Linked DNA regions of Diceros bicornis minor. The main gene of each other region encodes a partner of the protein of the gene in region 2 in a complex. Links are inferred from orthologs where the notes say so. Each region holds a gene or a part of one and is shown on either strand. Other genes may lie near its edges.

Region 1 (7,143 bases), on a different chromosome or scaffold from region 2:
TTTCTTTCCCCTCTAAATCTTTTTTAGCCTTCTGCATTTATTTTATTCAGTATCGTTATTCTTCCTTTCTCTTCATTCAAATCTTCTGCCCACCATATCTAATCTGAATATTCTCTCCTCCTTTATCAAGAATTCAAAACGTGGCTCGTATTGTTGAAGGTAGTTTTTGTCTTACCTGGTAAAGATCAAATTTTTCCTTGAAGATAGTTAAAAATACCATAGTTCTATTTTACCACATGTACCACCTTGTAACCCCTCGGTCTTAAGCCTTACCATAAAAAGCCTTTGATTATAAGCTTATGAGTAAGAAGAATGCTTTGACCACACTTGCCTATCCCCAAAGTATCTACTCTATCAAAATGCCTTGACATTAAAAGTCAACAACTACATAACTAATCCACTCGGCTATGCTTGAAAGGGGAACAAATCAAGGTTGCCAAAACCTAAAATATTACTTTAATTCCAGAAGTCAAATTCTAGGCATAAATGAAGCAGCTCTAAAATACACCATTTCCAGGGGGCCGGCCCCATAGCTTAGTGGTTAAGTGTGCGCGCTCCACTACTGGCCGCCCAGATTCGGATCCCGGGTGCGCACAGACGCACCACTTGTCCGGCCATGCTGAGGCCGCGTCCCACATACAGCAACTAGAAGGATGTGCAACTATGACACACAACTATCTACTGGGGCTTTGGGGAAAAAAAGGAGGAGGATTCCTCAGCAAAAAGAGGAGGATTCGCATGGATGTTAGCCCAGGGCTGATCTTCCTCACAAAAAATAAATAAATAAATAAAATAAAATACACCATTTTCAGGGTGCTTTAAAGATTTGTAGAAAGGTCTTCCCCAGAAGACCCAATGCTGAATCTAACATAGTCTTTAGCAGCAACAATCTCACACAGGACTATCCGCCCGGCAATTTTAAAAAACGCTTTATATATATTAACACCAAATTCTTATAACCTGAGTTAGAAGGAATTAAGGATAGCTATAACACATCTCTGCTGCAAGAGCCAGCTCTCACATCAATAGGAGACGCCATCAAGATGAAATGTAAGAATCTGCAGCTGTGAAAACAGAGTGCCAGCCCAGATACATGCATACTATTTCCATCATACTGTGAGCTTTGTCAAGCAGGGACTACAGCTTATTTCCTCACCACTGTATACCCAGCATTATGCCCAGTGCCTGGTACAAAGTAGGCATTGATGCAGTATTTCCTAAAAGAAAATACACTGGGGAGAGAGGACTTGTTTTCAATTTAGATCATTACTCACCCAGGTGAACTGAGTTCACAACACAATGATTATTTCTGAACACTATATTTATATAGGAGAGGAAAACTATTGTAAATCCATCAACTCATAACTTTAATGGAGCAAAAATGAAAACATTTTCACCAACTTAATTCTACATGCTGGCTTAATGCAAACTGATCCAGTAATGAAGGGCAAACTGAGGGAAAACCATAAGTCCTAGTTCTAATCACCACTGAAAGTAATCCAGAAGCTGTGCTTTCACATTTTTTAAAAGAACATTTGCCTCTTCCACTTCATGTAAATCTATAAAGGATTTTTACAAGAAGTGATATGAAATTAAAATGCAATTACGTTAGCAGCTACAGAGATATTAACTTGTATCTACACAACTACCTACTAATTCCAGATTTCATAAACCCAACATTCTTATTATCTAATCTGTCAAGCCAGCACCTGTTTTGCCAAATAAAACAATAACAACCATCTTTTCCATTTCAAATCGCTTTTGGGGGGGAAAAGTTCATTTACTTGAATATAAAACAGACAAACACCTAAAGTGTCCTACTGAAATACCAGTATCAGTAAATCCTTGCGCATTTTAAACGCTGACCAGCATTAACTGACCACTTTCCTCCCTTTGGATCAGCACCACGGTGCCTCACGACCTCTCAAAAAGGATAAAAAAGCACACTGACAATTTCTTGAGCATGACGGAGCCCAAATGCCAATTACCTGCCACAGCGAGGCTACTTTTGAGTGACCTCGAAATGCAACGGCTTAAAGGGCTTACACAGAAAGGTGCTGACAATAAAACGCAGCCCTCAATGGGTTCCCTGGGGCGACGTTCCGGACCCCTCCACGGTCTGAAAGCCCAACGATAACAGCATCCACCCTCCCATGCGGGGGTCTACTGGGTGCCTGGAAGCTGCTGCTGCGGCAGAGAAGACAGGGCAGGCCAGACAGCACTAAGCAGACGAATAAAATGTGGTGCATTCACGAGCTGAAATGCAATATAGCAATAACGGGAAAAAACTAAACCTACGCGTTATAACTAGATCTCGCAAGCTCATTGGCAGAAAAAGAGCGAAAACTGCAAAAACGATACTACATTATACCACTCCCATCAAATAAAAACACACAAAACGATGCCATACACGGGATGCGAAAGCATCAACAATGCACGGGAAGGATAAGCACCACGTTTTGAGGTTGGTTATCTCTGCAGAGGTGGAGAAAGGATGAGTGCAAAGCAAACCTGGGTTCCTACAATGACTGAACACAGGGACATGAGAACAAATCTCTCTGGAAAAAGAAAAGCTTCTCAAGTACGACTCGAACCCCTTGGCGCTGGAGGACAAGGAAACAGCCTGCGGGAGCTAGAAAGTCGCGAGAGTGGGGGTGCGGGGAAGCGTGGAGCCCGCCGAGGGCCGGTGGCGCGCCGGAAGGAGAAGACTGGAGTCTTGAGGCGCGCTCACGAGGAAGGGGACGCCGGCGAAGGCAGCGCGCGAGACCAGGCCGCACTTACAGGTTGATGGTGCGCTCCAGCGTGAGGGGCTTGGTCTGCTGGATGTACTTATTGCCGAACTGGTTGACCCCCCGGGGCCAGCCGGTCTGCGAGCGATTGGGCGGCACCACGGACATGTTGGCGAGCTCGAGCACTGGCAGCGAGCGGAAAGGGGGAGGCAGGGAGACCTTCCCTGTGGCAGCAGCGGTTAACTGCGTCCCACTCAGCAGCCGCCACCCGCCATTAACAGGAGAGCGCAAGAGGAGGCGTACGCACGGCGGAAGTGCATCCGCAGCCTCTGGCGGCAGGAAGTAGAGAGGCAACGGCCGGCCATGCCATTAGGCCAATCGCTGGTGGGACGGCCGCAATATCTGGAGCTCTCATTGGTAAATCCGGTATGGATTCCGCCTCCTCTTACTTTGGTCCTTCCTATTGGGTGGCGTCGGGGACCCTTGGAAGGCGGCATCCTGGGAATTGTAGTCTCCCTAGGAAAAGAGTTGCTTGATCAGCGTGGCGGAGGTCTGTAGCCTAGGAGGAGATGAATGGGAAACGGCCGGCTGAGCCCGGCCCGGGCAGGGCGGGGAAAAAGGGAAAGAAGGAGGTGATGGCGGAGTTTTCGGACGCTGTCACGGAGGAAACCTTGAAAAAGCAGGTGGCTGAGGCCTGGAGCCGCAGGACGCCGTTCCGTCACGGTAACCGAGGGCTGTGAAGGGGCAGCCTCTGTGCGGGGTTGGGGGCCTCTGAATAAGTCCTGGCGCTCGAGCCGATTCCTGAGCAGCGGGGCCGCCAGGGAAGAGGCTCTTGGAGAGAGCGTGACTTTGGCCACCTGCGACCCTCTTGCCTGGCCTGCTGCCCCCTTTCATTCCAGGTTCAGTTTGGGTTTAGAAACCTGAGAAGGGAAGACATGTAGGCCAGGGAGTTTCAGGAAGTAGAGGGCATGGAAGTTCATAGTGGAATTCTGGAATTAGAGATTACTGAGTTAGAATCCTCTCCACTGATGGTGCGTCGTTGGGCAATGGGTTTAACTTTTTTAAACTTCAGTTCTTTCCTGTGTAAATGGGATAACTGATAGTGTTTACCTCGGAAAGATGCTGAATGAGATTAATAAGGTAATGCATGTATGCATCAATAAATGTTTCCCTGAGTAAAAAGACCAGTAAACCTTTGGACGTGTATTTGAGTGGCTTATGCGATTTTTCCTCCGAGGGTGAAGCTCGGTTGTCCTCTGATAGGGTAGCCAGAGCACGTTGTGAGCTGCCAGATAGCAGGCACCTGAACGTACTCGTTTTTACATGCCTGTAGTTCGACTACATGACCCATGCAAGCAAACGTGTGTGGGCTGAGGGAAGGAGCCTACACTGAAGGATTCCAGCCTCTGCTTCAAATATCACCTTATACATAAGAACTCTGCTTAATATATCACGCTTCCTCTTCTCAAGTTTGCTGTGATTTTTGTTTCAGCGGTTAAGTGCTTTGAAGAGTCATGGGCGCTCTGGATGCACATAGAAACTGATAGCTTAGTGTTGAAAGTGCAAGCTCTGTCCACTCAGGGACTTCTCAATTTCCTCATTTGTAGGATGAAGATAGTGATAATGTCTACCTTCGCGTTGTTGGGAGGATTAAATGAGATAATGCATGTAAAGCCCCACTGTGCCTGGCACCTGGCAGGTGGTGGTGGTGGTGATTATTATTGCAAAGGTGCATAATCTTCCCGCCAGAGGCAGTGGGTAAAATGTTGAGGTAAAAATCAACAAATTAAAGGAGGTTATGCCTGAACTGATTAAAAGAAAAAAAAAAAAGTATGTATGTTGTAACTTCCTCTGATAGTAACTTGGGGAAAGGAAAAGGGTTGGGGAAAAATTGCCAGGCAGTATGGCTATTCTCATTTTTAATTTGCTGCTCTTATTTTAAATTTGGAGGAAATGAATTAATCTAAAATACATTCAATTCAATAAGTAATCATTGAATTAAAAAACCCCCAAAAGAGCAGGAAACTTAATTTAGTGGCATCACCTATACTCATCTTATGGGCTAATATTCTAAGCACAGTATCTTTAAAAAGTAGTATCGAGTCAGGGGCCACCCCATGGCTGAGCGGTTAAGTGTGCGCACTCCGCTACTGGCGGCCCGGGTTGGGATCCAGGGCGTGCACCGATGCACTGCTTGTCCAGCCACGCTGAGGCCGCGTCCCACATGCAGCAACTAGAAGGATGTGCAACTATGACATACGACTATCTACTGGGGCTTTGGGGAGAAAAAGGGAAAAAAAGGCGGAGGATTGGCAATAGATGTTACCTTAGGGCAGTCTTCCTCAGCAAAAAGAAGAGGATTGGCATGGATGTTAGCTCAGGGCTGATCTTCCTCACACACACACACACACACACACACACACACACACACAAAGTAGTATTGAGTCAGTAAAGAAAAAAGAGAAGAGCGTATAATTCTTCCCCCAAGAAAATTCATGACCGTCCCCTTTGGTATTCTCTCTACTGTGCTACTTAGGGGTCAAAAATACAAAAGGAAAAAAGCCATAGATCATGTTTTCCTTCCCACAGAAGCCATTGTCATGGACATGGACCCCTTTCTTCACTGCGTGATCCCAAACTTCATCCAAAGCCAAAACTTCTTGGAAGGGCTGCAGAAGGAACTTTTGAACTTGGACTTCCATGAAAAGTATAACGATTTATATAAGTTCCAGCAGGTATTTATGCCCCTTTCACATCAGCTCTTCCAGTTCAGAAATTCAGCATCTATAAAATCACTCAATACCTTTAGACTTGGGGTGTGTTAGGTTGGGTTTGCCTTGGTGGGTCCTTGCCTTGACATTGTTAAAAACATTCACTCATTTAACATAAACTTACTGAGTGTTAACTCTGTGTTAGGTGCTATAATTATTATATGGGAGTCTTTGCCAGTTCCCACCCTGTAAGACTTTATAGAGGTAACAGTAATGATGAGATAGTCAGGAAATACAGTAAGCCAGTAATTAAGTACATTAGAAATAAAGGGGTTAAGTACATTTTTGGGAGTGGTATAATGAAGAGAGTTGTACATTAGAAGATAATAACCATTTAGATTTTTGAGTTCATGTCTTTGTTTTAGGTAGCTTGGTGTATTGCAGTATGCTCTGCATTGCAATATGTCTTGTAGAGAGTTAGATCCATTCTTTTTTTGATGGCCAATTTAATTTGGCAGAAAAGACTATCTCAAAATCAAGGCTAGTTTTTCTACTCTTAGAAGACAGGCCCAGTCTAGGTATAGAAATACAGGTCATTGGTTTCCTCGGTTTGGGGGAATATCTTTCAGTACATGGTATATATCACTCTTGGAAATCCTTTATAAAACCTCAAGGACAGCAGCCCTTAAAATCACGAAAAATAAAAATGAAACAGGTGAAGAATTATTTTGTTTTCTTTGATTTCTCTTTATCTAGAGTAAGAGAGTAAATGATGGATTTCTCCGTTATCTCCAGAGCTGACTGTTTGGTCAGCTGGTTGTGTCCCCCAATCTGTCTATCTTTGGGCCTTGTACATATGATTGAATTAGTCCAGGTTAAATACACAAATGATGTGATTCTTAATAATTCAGAAAATCTAATGAAAATTAACTTGTATCCATAGTAAAGTTGCATAGGTTAATTAAAAACCATAGTTGTCTGCCTTTGTAATTGTATCAACTTTGGTAACACTAGGCCTCTTGTTGATTTAGGGCTATATGCATCTCTGATTACTAAAATTGAGAAATCAAAGTGGTTTTTACTTAATACAATTTGGTAGATGAAAATACTTCTAGCTATGAAGTCAGTGCGAGGCAAAATAATAAAAAGGGCCCTGGGTGGTGAGGAAGAAAACAAGGGAGCCATTACTTTAGATCCCCATGGGTGCTTGGTGAAACTCTGCACTGCTGTGAATAATTTTCACTCTGCTCACTTTGGGACTGAACTTCATCCTGAGACAGTAAATATAGAACCTGTTTTTAGTCTCCTGTCCCTTCAGACTTCACCTATATCTCTTTTTCTTTGTTTGTACTGAGTTGACTTGATAATTGGGCCTATAACATCTTCCAATCCCCCTAACCAAGTTTGTCGTTAGGAGTAGCCTGATATTCTGTATGTATTTTAAAGCAAGCATTATTGAGTGCATGCTTTATGCCATGCTAAGTGCTTTATATTTATTAATTCATTAAATCCTCAACAATCCTATGAAGGACATACATTACTATTCCTGTTTTACAGATGAAGAAATTGCATCAATTTTTCCTTCTCTTCTGGATCATTCCCTTCAACATACAAAAAAAAAAAAAAGCTGGTACGGTTAGTTCTTCTCATCTTAAGAAGAAAAAAGTGCTGTTGGTCTAACTTTCCCCTTCAACTACCACCCA
Region 2 (7,938 bases):
CTATCAGTGACCTAGCGCCAGACAGATCAATAACTAAATTCTACAGTAAGAGCTTTTGATCCCCAAACAGGCAAAGTACACACTACTTCAATGCACACAGTATAAGCTTTCCTGAAGTGCACAGAATTTTTGACTTTCCTCTCCCCCAGCAACAAAATTCTATAGATACAGATACACATAAAAGAGTGGATTCTACAATATACCACCTGTCAGGGTATTATAATTATGTAGGCGTCTCTCACCCCCACTGCAGTGCACTCTAAGGTAGAGACTATCTAAACTTAATATCCGTCCTTGTTGGCAGACTACAGATACTCAAAAAACCTATTTGGAACAATTGAGTTTTAAAATTTTTTATGTAGTTCTGGTCAAAATTAAAAAGTCTATAATTATTAAATATTAGGCTAATAAATACTACATTTGAGTTCAAATCCCAGTTCAAAGTGAATTGATATAACTAAAGAGGCTGAAACAGAACCTCTTTCTTCTCAACTCCAAATTCAAGTAATGTACAGGTTTGGAAGTAGTTCAAATTCTCCTTCCACTGGAGCAACTGTTCTCAATTTGGTTACATTGAAGACCTTGAATTTAAGAACTAAAGAGCACCCACAAAGAACAGCCGAGTCCCTTGTGCCTTCTCCCCTTCTCCAACTTGACTCTCCATTCTTAAATTCATCTGGTGAAGAAAGAAACTCTACTACAGTTTCACCAACTTATTCTCATCTCATCCTCAAATTAAAGATTCTTCTAAAACAGTTGAATGCCTTACACTTTTGGAAATAGGTTTATACTGTGCTTTAGCAAAATACAGACACACATGAAAAGCTTCATAAAAGTACGACCATTTAAAATAGAAAAAAATGGCAAACACATAGATTACAGAGAATTTCAAAGTATACAGATGCAAATAAAACTGCAGCTCACTTTGAAGAATAAAGATTTTTTAAACGTTTAGCAGTTTAAAAGCCAAAGTAAGTCAAGACTGGTTATACTTGGTAAAACATTTTACTCAACTACAATAAAATAAGAGCCATAGTTTACTATAGCAACCAGTAGGAATAAAGCCACCAGCTAATAACAGTGCAAATTAAATCAATCAGCAATAATTTTGTAGTTGCCTCTAATTCTGATAAAACTTCAGAAAAATATTTCAGTGACAGTAACATTTTAAAAAACAGGATGAACCATGAAAACGATCAACTATCCTTCTGTGGCCATATTTTGTATAGGAATTATCACAGCAGGCAGTAGATTACAAAGGCCAACGATATGCAAAATAATAACAAAAACGAAGCCACTATTTAATCCCCCCATTAATCTATTCAAAAGTATAAAGATTTTACTGGTAAAATCATACAGCTAGCTATGTGTGAGCTATAATGCTACAGGTACAAGTAAACAGAAAGTGACATTTTTAAAAGAACCCTACAAAGTTGTTCCTCATTAGGACCACAAAATTTTAATCTCTTCTTACCTCCTGCTCAGTCAGCACTAGTTACTGCACAGAGATAAGCAAGGACCACCCCATCCAGCCATATAGATTAGAGAAACGCCCACCCCAAATTAAGTATGCGAAAGCCTAGAGAAGATTTCATGAGGACGTCCTGAAAAAAGCTCAACTTCTAAAACCGACCCCAATTCTTCCTTCGTTGTGGAGAGAAACGCAAAGCAGACGTATTTTCTTGTAAGAAACGCTAATGAGGACAGGCTTGAACACTTACTTGTTCCCTGACTTGCAGGCATGGCCCTCTCTTGGATGGAATGTTATACTCATTCAACAAATCAAAAGAAATTTCCTAGAGCTCTTTGTCTGCTGACTTAAAAGCATTAGAATCTGTGCAGCACTAAGATAATGTCTAAATTTGTCACTGACACAACTCGGGCATCACACAGCCAAAATATAAACACAATAAAAGGAACAAAGATTTTAAAAATGTCTGACTACAATGGGTTACATTTAAACACATCCAGCCTTTAAGGGGGCAGGACACATTTAAAGCTAACTGAGAATTTTTTCCTTTCCTAATATTTAAACCAGGGCACAAAGTCATTCCGGGGGCGGGGGGGAAACGGTGGCGATTTCTAGCTTTCCCTATTTTTAAAAAACCTTGAGCCCCCGCCACAAATAAGGTCCTTTAGGGAGGGGGGAAAAAACCCCAAACCACGAACCAGTAGCATTTTATTAGGCTTCGCACACGGACCTGGAAAATACAAAAGTAAAGCTCTCCGCGCGGCGCGGCGGGGCCGACGTCTGGACACGCGCGCTGCGCCGCCGGGGGGGCAGCCGCGGCGCGGAGGGTCTGCGCCCCCGCCCGGCCCGACCCGGCCGCACGGCCCGCCGGCCGCCGAGAGCCCGCCACGGCCACCGCGCCTCGGAACGGCCCTCGAGACGCGGGCGTCCTGTCTCGACCCTGCGCGGCCGGCTCGGCCGGGCCTCGGCCCCCAGCGCGCCCAGCCCTCCGCGAACGTGCGCGCCGAGCGGCCTCTGCGCGGCCGGGGGGGCGGCCCGGGGCACAAAGGACCGGGGCGCCCCCCGAGCGGGAGGCCGGGCCGGGGCGGGGGCGGCGCGCGCCCGGCCTCCCGGCCTCCCCTCCGCGCACACGCGGCCCGCGCCGGGCCTACGCGGCGGGAAGCGCGCCGGCCGCCAACAATGGGAGCGCGGCGGGGCCGAGCGGGGAGGGGCGGCGGCTGCACGGGCCCGCGTCCGCTCCGGCCCCCGCTCCCGGCCCCGGCGCCCGCCGCCCGCGCAACGACGCGGTGGAACGAGGGGCCGCGCCGGCCGGCCGGGTGGGCGGCGCGGGGCCGGAGCGCGGGCGCACGCTGCAGCCCCGGCCCGCCCGGCCCCCGCGCGGGCCGCCGCCTGGGCGCCCGGCCCGCGTACCTGGTTGAACTCCTCGCCCACATCCGCATAGATGTCGATGTGGTCCACGCCGTCCGCCATCTTCCTCGGCCTCGGCCCGCCGCCTGCAGGTCCGCCCGCCGCGGCAGAGCAGCGGGTCGACGCGGGGGCGGGGCGCCTGCGTCACTTCCGCGGCCCGCGGGACGCGGCGGGGGCGGCGACCCGGGGACGCGGGGGCGGCGGCCGGGGGGCGCGGGGGCGCGCTGAGGGGACAGCGGCGGCCCCGCGGCCGAGGCGGCTCTTTGTGGGGCCGGGCCGGGCCGGGCCGGGCCGGGGGCGGGGGCGCCGCGCTGGTTTCCGGGGACGTGTTTCCACGTCGCCTCCGGCGCGCTCGGGCGCTTTGTAGTGTTTTCATTCCTCAGTTTTCCGGCATCTCGCACAGCCGAGGGTCAAGCGGTGTGTGTCACGCGACGCCGGGGGCGCCTGAGGGCGAGGCCGGCTCTCCCTGCGCCCTCGGCCTCGCGGAGCGTCGTCTGCTCGGAAACGCTAGAAACCCGCGGCGTTATCTCGGCTGCTGGCAGCCGTTCCTGTTTCCGTCCCCATCTCCTGCCGTCGTCGTCCTGCATCGCCGCCTCGTCCCCCGTGGCCGAGTGCCGCCGTCTCGAGCCCGCGCGGCAAGGTGGCGGCCCCTCAGGCGGGGCTCCGACTCCTGGAGTGCCCACGGGCAGGGGACGGGAAAAGTGCCGTGACCCGGACGTCTCATCTCACAGCGGGGGAGCTGGGGCCTGAGGAATTGAAGAGCTGTAACCGGGGTCGCGTGGTCAATAAAGAAAGAGCTGTTGCCACCAGTGCTTGGTTCCAAGATGTCAGTCCGGCTTGAAACCTTCCCCCATTCTTTATTTCTTTTTCACCCGTGTAAAAACCCACCAAGTGAGAGCATGTTTCCTGAGCCGGGGACTGGCCAGCAGCCATTCACACGGTGATGAGCCGAGCACCGTCTGTGCCTGGGGTGGTGGGAAGAGCTTGGTGGGAGTCCTAGAGACCAAGCTGGGGATCGGGGTGCAGATTTCCAGTCAGACGCTTGACCAGCTGGACGACCTCATCAAGTTACCCGATGTCTCCCATGTTCAGTCTCAGAACCTTTAAAACCGGGGTGGTAATATTCACCTCACCAAGGCTGAACGTTGATGGTGGTTTAAACGAGTTAATACGCAAAATGCCCTATCTCTTATGCTTCTTGGAAATACTGATTTTTCCCATGGAGCTTTAAAGAGGAAGAGTCGCATGATAAAGGGCAAGAGCGTATTTTAGATCGATAATGAGATGGGCACAATAATCACCCATCGTAGATGTCCACATCCACGGAATCTGTGAATATGTGACCTCACATGGCAAAAGGGACTTGGCAGATGTGCTTAAGGTTCTTGACGTAGGGAGGTTAGCTTGGATTTCCTGGTGGGCCCAAAGCAATCACAAGGGTTTTGATAAGTGAAAGAGAGAGGCAAGAGAGTGCGAGAAGGAGATGTGCCGATAGGAGCTGTCTATGTTCTTTAGGTACATTTAAAAATCATTCCAAGATTCTGGCTTCCGCTGTTGCCTGTGAAAAGTCTACTGTCAGTTTCTTTGCAGGACATACGGTTTTTTTCTCTGGCTGCTTTTAAGATGTTTTTCTCTTACACTTTGATTTTTTGCTCTTTTACTATTTATGTTTGGAAGTGTATTTGTTTTTGTTTGTGATGCTTAGGATTCGGCAGGCCTCTTGAGTATATTGATTGATGCCTTTCATGAGTTCTGGAAAATTTTCAGCCATTACCTCTTTGGTATTGCTTCTGCCCCACTCTTTCTTCTCTCCTTCTATAACGCTAGTTAAGTGTATGTTAGATCTTTCCTATCCACTGTTTCTCTTACCTTCTCCTTTTTATATTTTCTAGATTACTAATTCTCTCTCCTATGGTGTTAAACTCCTGTACTGAGCTATTAAGTTTTTTTTCTTTTTGGTAATTTTAGGTTCTAGAATTTCTATTTGATTGTTTTTAAAATCTATTAGATTCATTTTTATAGTATCTAACTCTTTGCCAAAATTGTCAGTCTTGACTTTTATCTCTTTGAATATAGTAGGCATCATTGGTGTACTTTCTGGGTCTCTGATAATTCCAGTATCTGGAGTCCCATTGGGTCTGTTGTTGATTCTTTGTTCTAGTTATTTGTTGTGTATTGTTTATGCTGGTCCTCACTCATGTTGTCTTGTCACCTATCTTCGTATGCTGGACATTGTAACTGAAACACTTTAAGAAATAATGTGAGACCTATGATGATTTTTTTTTCCACAGGATTTTCATTTTCTTCTGGCAGGCACCTGAGGGCACCAACAAACAGGATCACTCTAATCCAGATGGTTGGGAACCTTGGGGGGACTGATTTAGTTTGGTTCGCCCTTACCTCCTAGGGTACTGTCCTTCTGAGTACTGGCCAAAAACATGTTTACCAGAGTCACCACTCTTGACAAGTCCTAGACTCCATGTTTTGTTCCCGTAGATATCTTTTGAATCTGAAAATGCTCCCAGGGCAAAAGCACTCTGAATGTATAGACCCTATCCTCTTCTGCTTCTTGGCCAGGTAATTCATCACTCACTACCTGGTTGGCTTTTTGATAATTTTAAAATGTTACTGGGTACCTCTTTACTTGGCAATGTTCAAAAAATGACATATTATTATAGATTACAAAGAAAAATGCATAATAATAATGACAAGAACAACAAAACTCTACCACTGGGTACCTTCTACGTACCAGCCTCTTTGTTAGACATCTTCTAGTCATTAATGTAAATAAATGAAAGATTGGAGACTTGGGTTCTTGTCCTGGCTTTACAACTGACTAGCCAAGAAACCTTAGACAAGTCCAACCTCAAGTCCTCCATGAAGGTCACTCTCAGTTCTGAAATTATTCAAATCTACATAGAATTGAAAGTCCAAGGCGCCTTGGAAGGAATTTGGCAATGGTACGTTAAATGTTGCAGAGGAACTTCCTTCTAGCCTTGCTGCATGAGTTTCCTATCGCTGCTATAACAAATTACCACCAATGTAGGGGCTTGGAACAACACAAATTTATTTTCTTACAGCTCTGGAGATCAGAAGTCCAAAATGAATCTTACTGGGCTAGCATCAAGGTGTTGGCAAGGCTGCATTTCTTCTGGAAACTCTAGAGGAGAATCCATTTTCTTGCCTTTTCCATCTTCTAGAGGCTGCCCACATTCTTTAGCTGTGGCCCCCTGCCCACAGTCGCATCACTCCAACAATATAAACAATATAAAATCAAAATATTTAAGAAGAGTAGCAAAGAGGTTGGAAAGGAGATAATGTTCTAAGGTTCTCTGTCCATCTGCTGCTTCTCTTTATAGAAGAGTTTTCTCTCCTTTTCCATGCACGTGGCTATGCAACACTGGCATCCTCAGCTCCAGAGTTCAAATAACCACCATTCAAGAAAATGGCCATATGTCTTAGTTTAATTACAAAATCTATGGAGAAAGCAACTGATTAGCTCAGTTTTTATAGGCGTCTACTCCTAGTCCAATGAAGTTTGTCTCAGGGGGTGGGGTGGCAGAGTAAAAACACCTTACAAATTCCACTATATGAGTTAGGAAAGGGTGGAGAATTGTCAGTGAAAGACGGTTGCTTTGAGCTAAGCAGACACCCAAAGGTTGTCCAACACATTCCACCTATTGGATGACAACACACAGACAAACGCCTGATGGTTTGGGAAGGCAAATCCAAATCCATAAATATTTAACACATGCTGTCATTCCCACCTACTCCAAATAAACCAATGCTGTAATCTCTGTAGGAACATGATTTTGGTTCTGACAGACTACAGGCCATAATTTAGCCCTGCAGTCCCCAAACTTTTTTTAAAACTCTCACCCCTGTCAGTATGACATTTTTAAACATGCAGCCATAATATATATAAATGTAAATATTATTTTATTAAGGCATTTTATGGAACATTTTTATACCATGAACACATATACAAATATTTTAAAGGATGAAATAAACAGGATTTTTAAGTGTCTTGCTAATCATAATGACCTCATATTATCATTAGTGGATGTAAATCCAAATTTCAAACAGTCTTCTTGAAATTTTGAGGCCTCCTCCTGTTAAGTCTGATTGAATCATCATTGTTTTCATCTCATTATGTGGCTGACCAGAATTCGTACTAGAAGTAGACAAGTGTTGACGCTGCCATTTTCTTGTCTTTCACTTGTACTTTCATTGTTAGTATCAGTTATGAACCATTATTTCTTAGGATTCTTTTTAAGACACTCAGGCATTTTGTGATGGTTAACTTAGTTAAAACTGGAAAATATAGTCTATGAGTTTATGTAACTGGGCTCTCATAAACTGCCACGTGTCACAACGTGAAGTGTATTAAATGCGTGAAGTGTATTAAGTGCCTGTGTGAGGGGATCCCTTTAGAATCCTCTGCTTTGGGAAGGTAATCCCCCTCTTTCCTCAGGGTTGCCCCCAGCAAGAGGGATGATGTGGGAAGCGAAAGAAGTTAATGATTCAAAGCTCCTCCCTATCGTGGGCCCCTTATCCTTTCCACTCCACTTTCCTCGCTGTCATACATCCCCCTTCATGTTGGATGGGGGTTGGACTGGCCGAGATTCTTATGGGATCAAAATGGAAGTTGAATGAGGTGGTACATTTAATTTGGAAATTTAATGGAATCTTTAATGGAAAAGATATATGTGTAAGTTATTGTTAGTCATCCTGATGACAGGAATGCTTTCCAGGAATATTTTTGCTGTGCTGACTCGCCCAGCTTCTGGGATATGAAGATGCAAGGCCAGAGGTCATATCGTGGTCTGAGTGTGTCCAGCCATGCTAGGCACTAGAAGGATGTGGGTAGTGGAGGAGAAACAAAGTTTGAAATGTATGGAATCAGATACGATTCTTTAGAAAATTAGTCTACAGAGACATGCAAAATTATAAGTGGAAGATTTGGTTCTCGTTAATGCCTCATCAAAACGGAAGTCTCTACTGGCAGGAATACACTAAATAATGAGGCATATAAAATTATCAACTCACCATACTTTTTT

What was found.
Region 1: the proteins of CPSF6 (region 2) and NUDT21 are in contact, whole or in part, in a crystal structure (PDB 3P5T), measured with the Homo sapiens proteins. The link is inferred for Diceros bicornis minor from reciprocal best matches to the Homo sapiens genes CPSF6 and NUDT21. Residues at the interface, in NP_008938.2 of Homo sapiens: Trp90, Trp91, Thr92, Thr93, Asp94, Glu95, Lys113, Phe114, Glu116, Asn117, Arg118, Ala119, Asn120, Gly121, Gln122, Ser123; in NP_008937.1 of Homo sapiens: Pro151, Asn152, Glu154, Pro156, Tyr158, Tyr160, Pro162, Ala163, His164, Ile165, Thr166, Lys167.

Annotation. Positions count from the first base shown.
Region 1 is NC_080771.1:10,007,748-10,014,890, forward strand, and holds the start of NUDT21 (cleavage and polyadenylation specificity factor subunit 5), read right to left. Parts: upstream 3,012-7,143; 5' UTR 2,898-3,011; coding exon 2,782-2,897; intron 1-2,781. Other genes in the region: prolyl 3-hydroxylase OGFOD1, read left to right, coding at 3,299-3,452, 5,319-5,464. UniProt on the Homo sapiens protein: Component of the cleavage factor Im (CFIm) complex that functions as an activator of the pre-mRNA 3'-end cleavage and polyadenylation processing required for the maturation of pre-mRNA into functional mRNAs.
Region 2 is NC_080756.1:2,090,516-2,098,453, forward strand, and holds the start of CPSF6 (cleavage and polyadenylation specificity factor subunit 6), read right to left. Parts: upstream 3,007-7,938; 5' UTR 2,942-3,006; coding exon 2,882-2,941; intron 1-2,881. UniProt on the Homo sapiens protein: Component of the cleavage factor Im (CFIm) complex that functions as an activator of the pre-mRNA 3'-end cleavage and polyadenylation processing required for the maturation of pre-mRNA into functional mRNAs.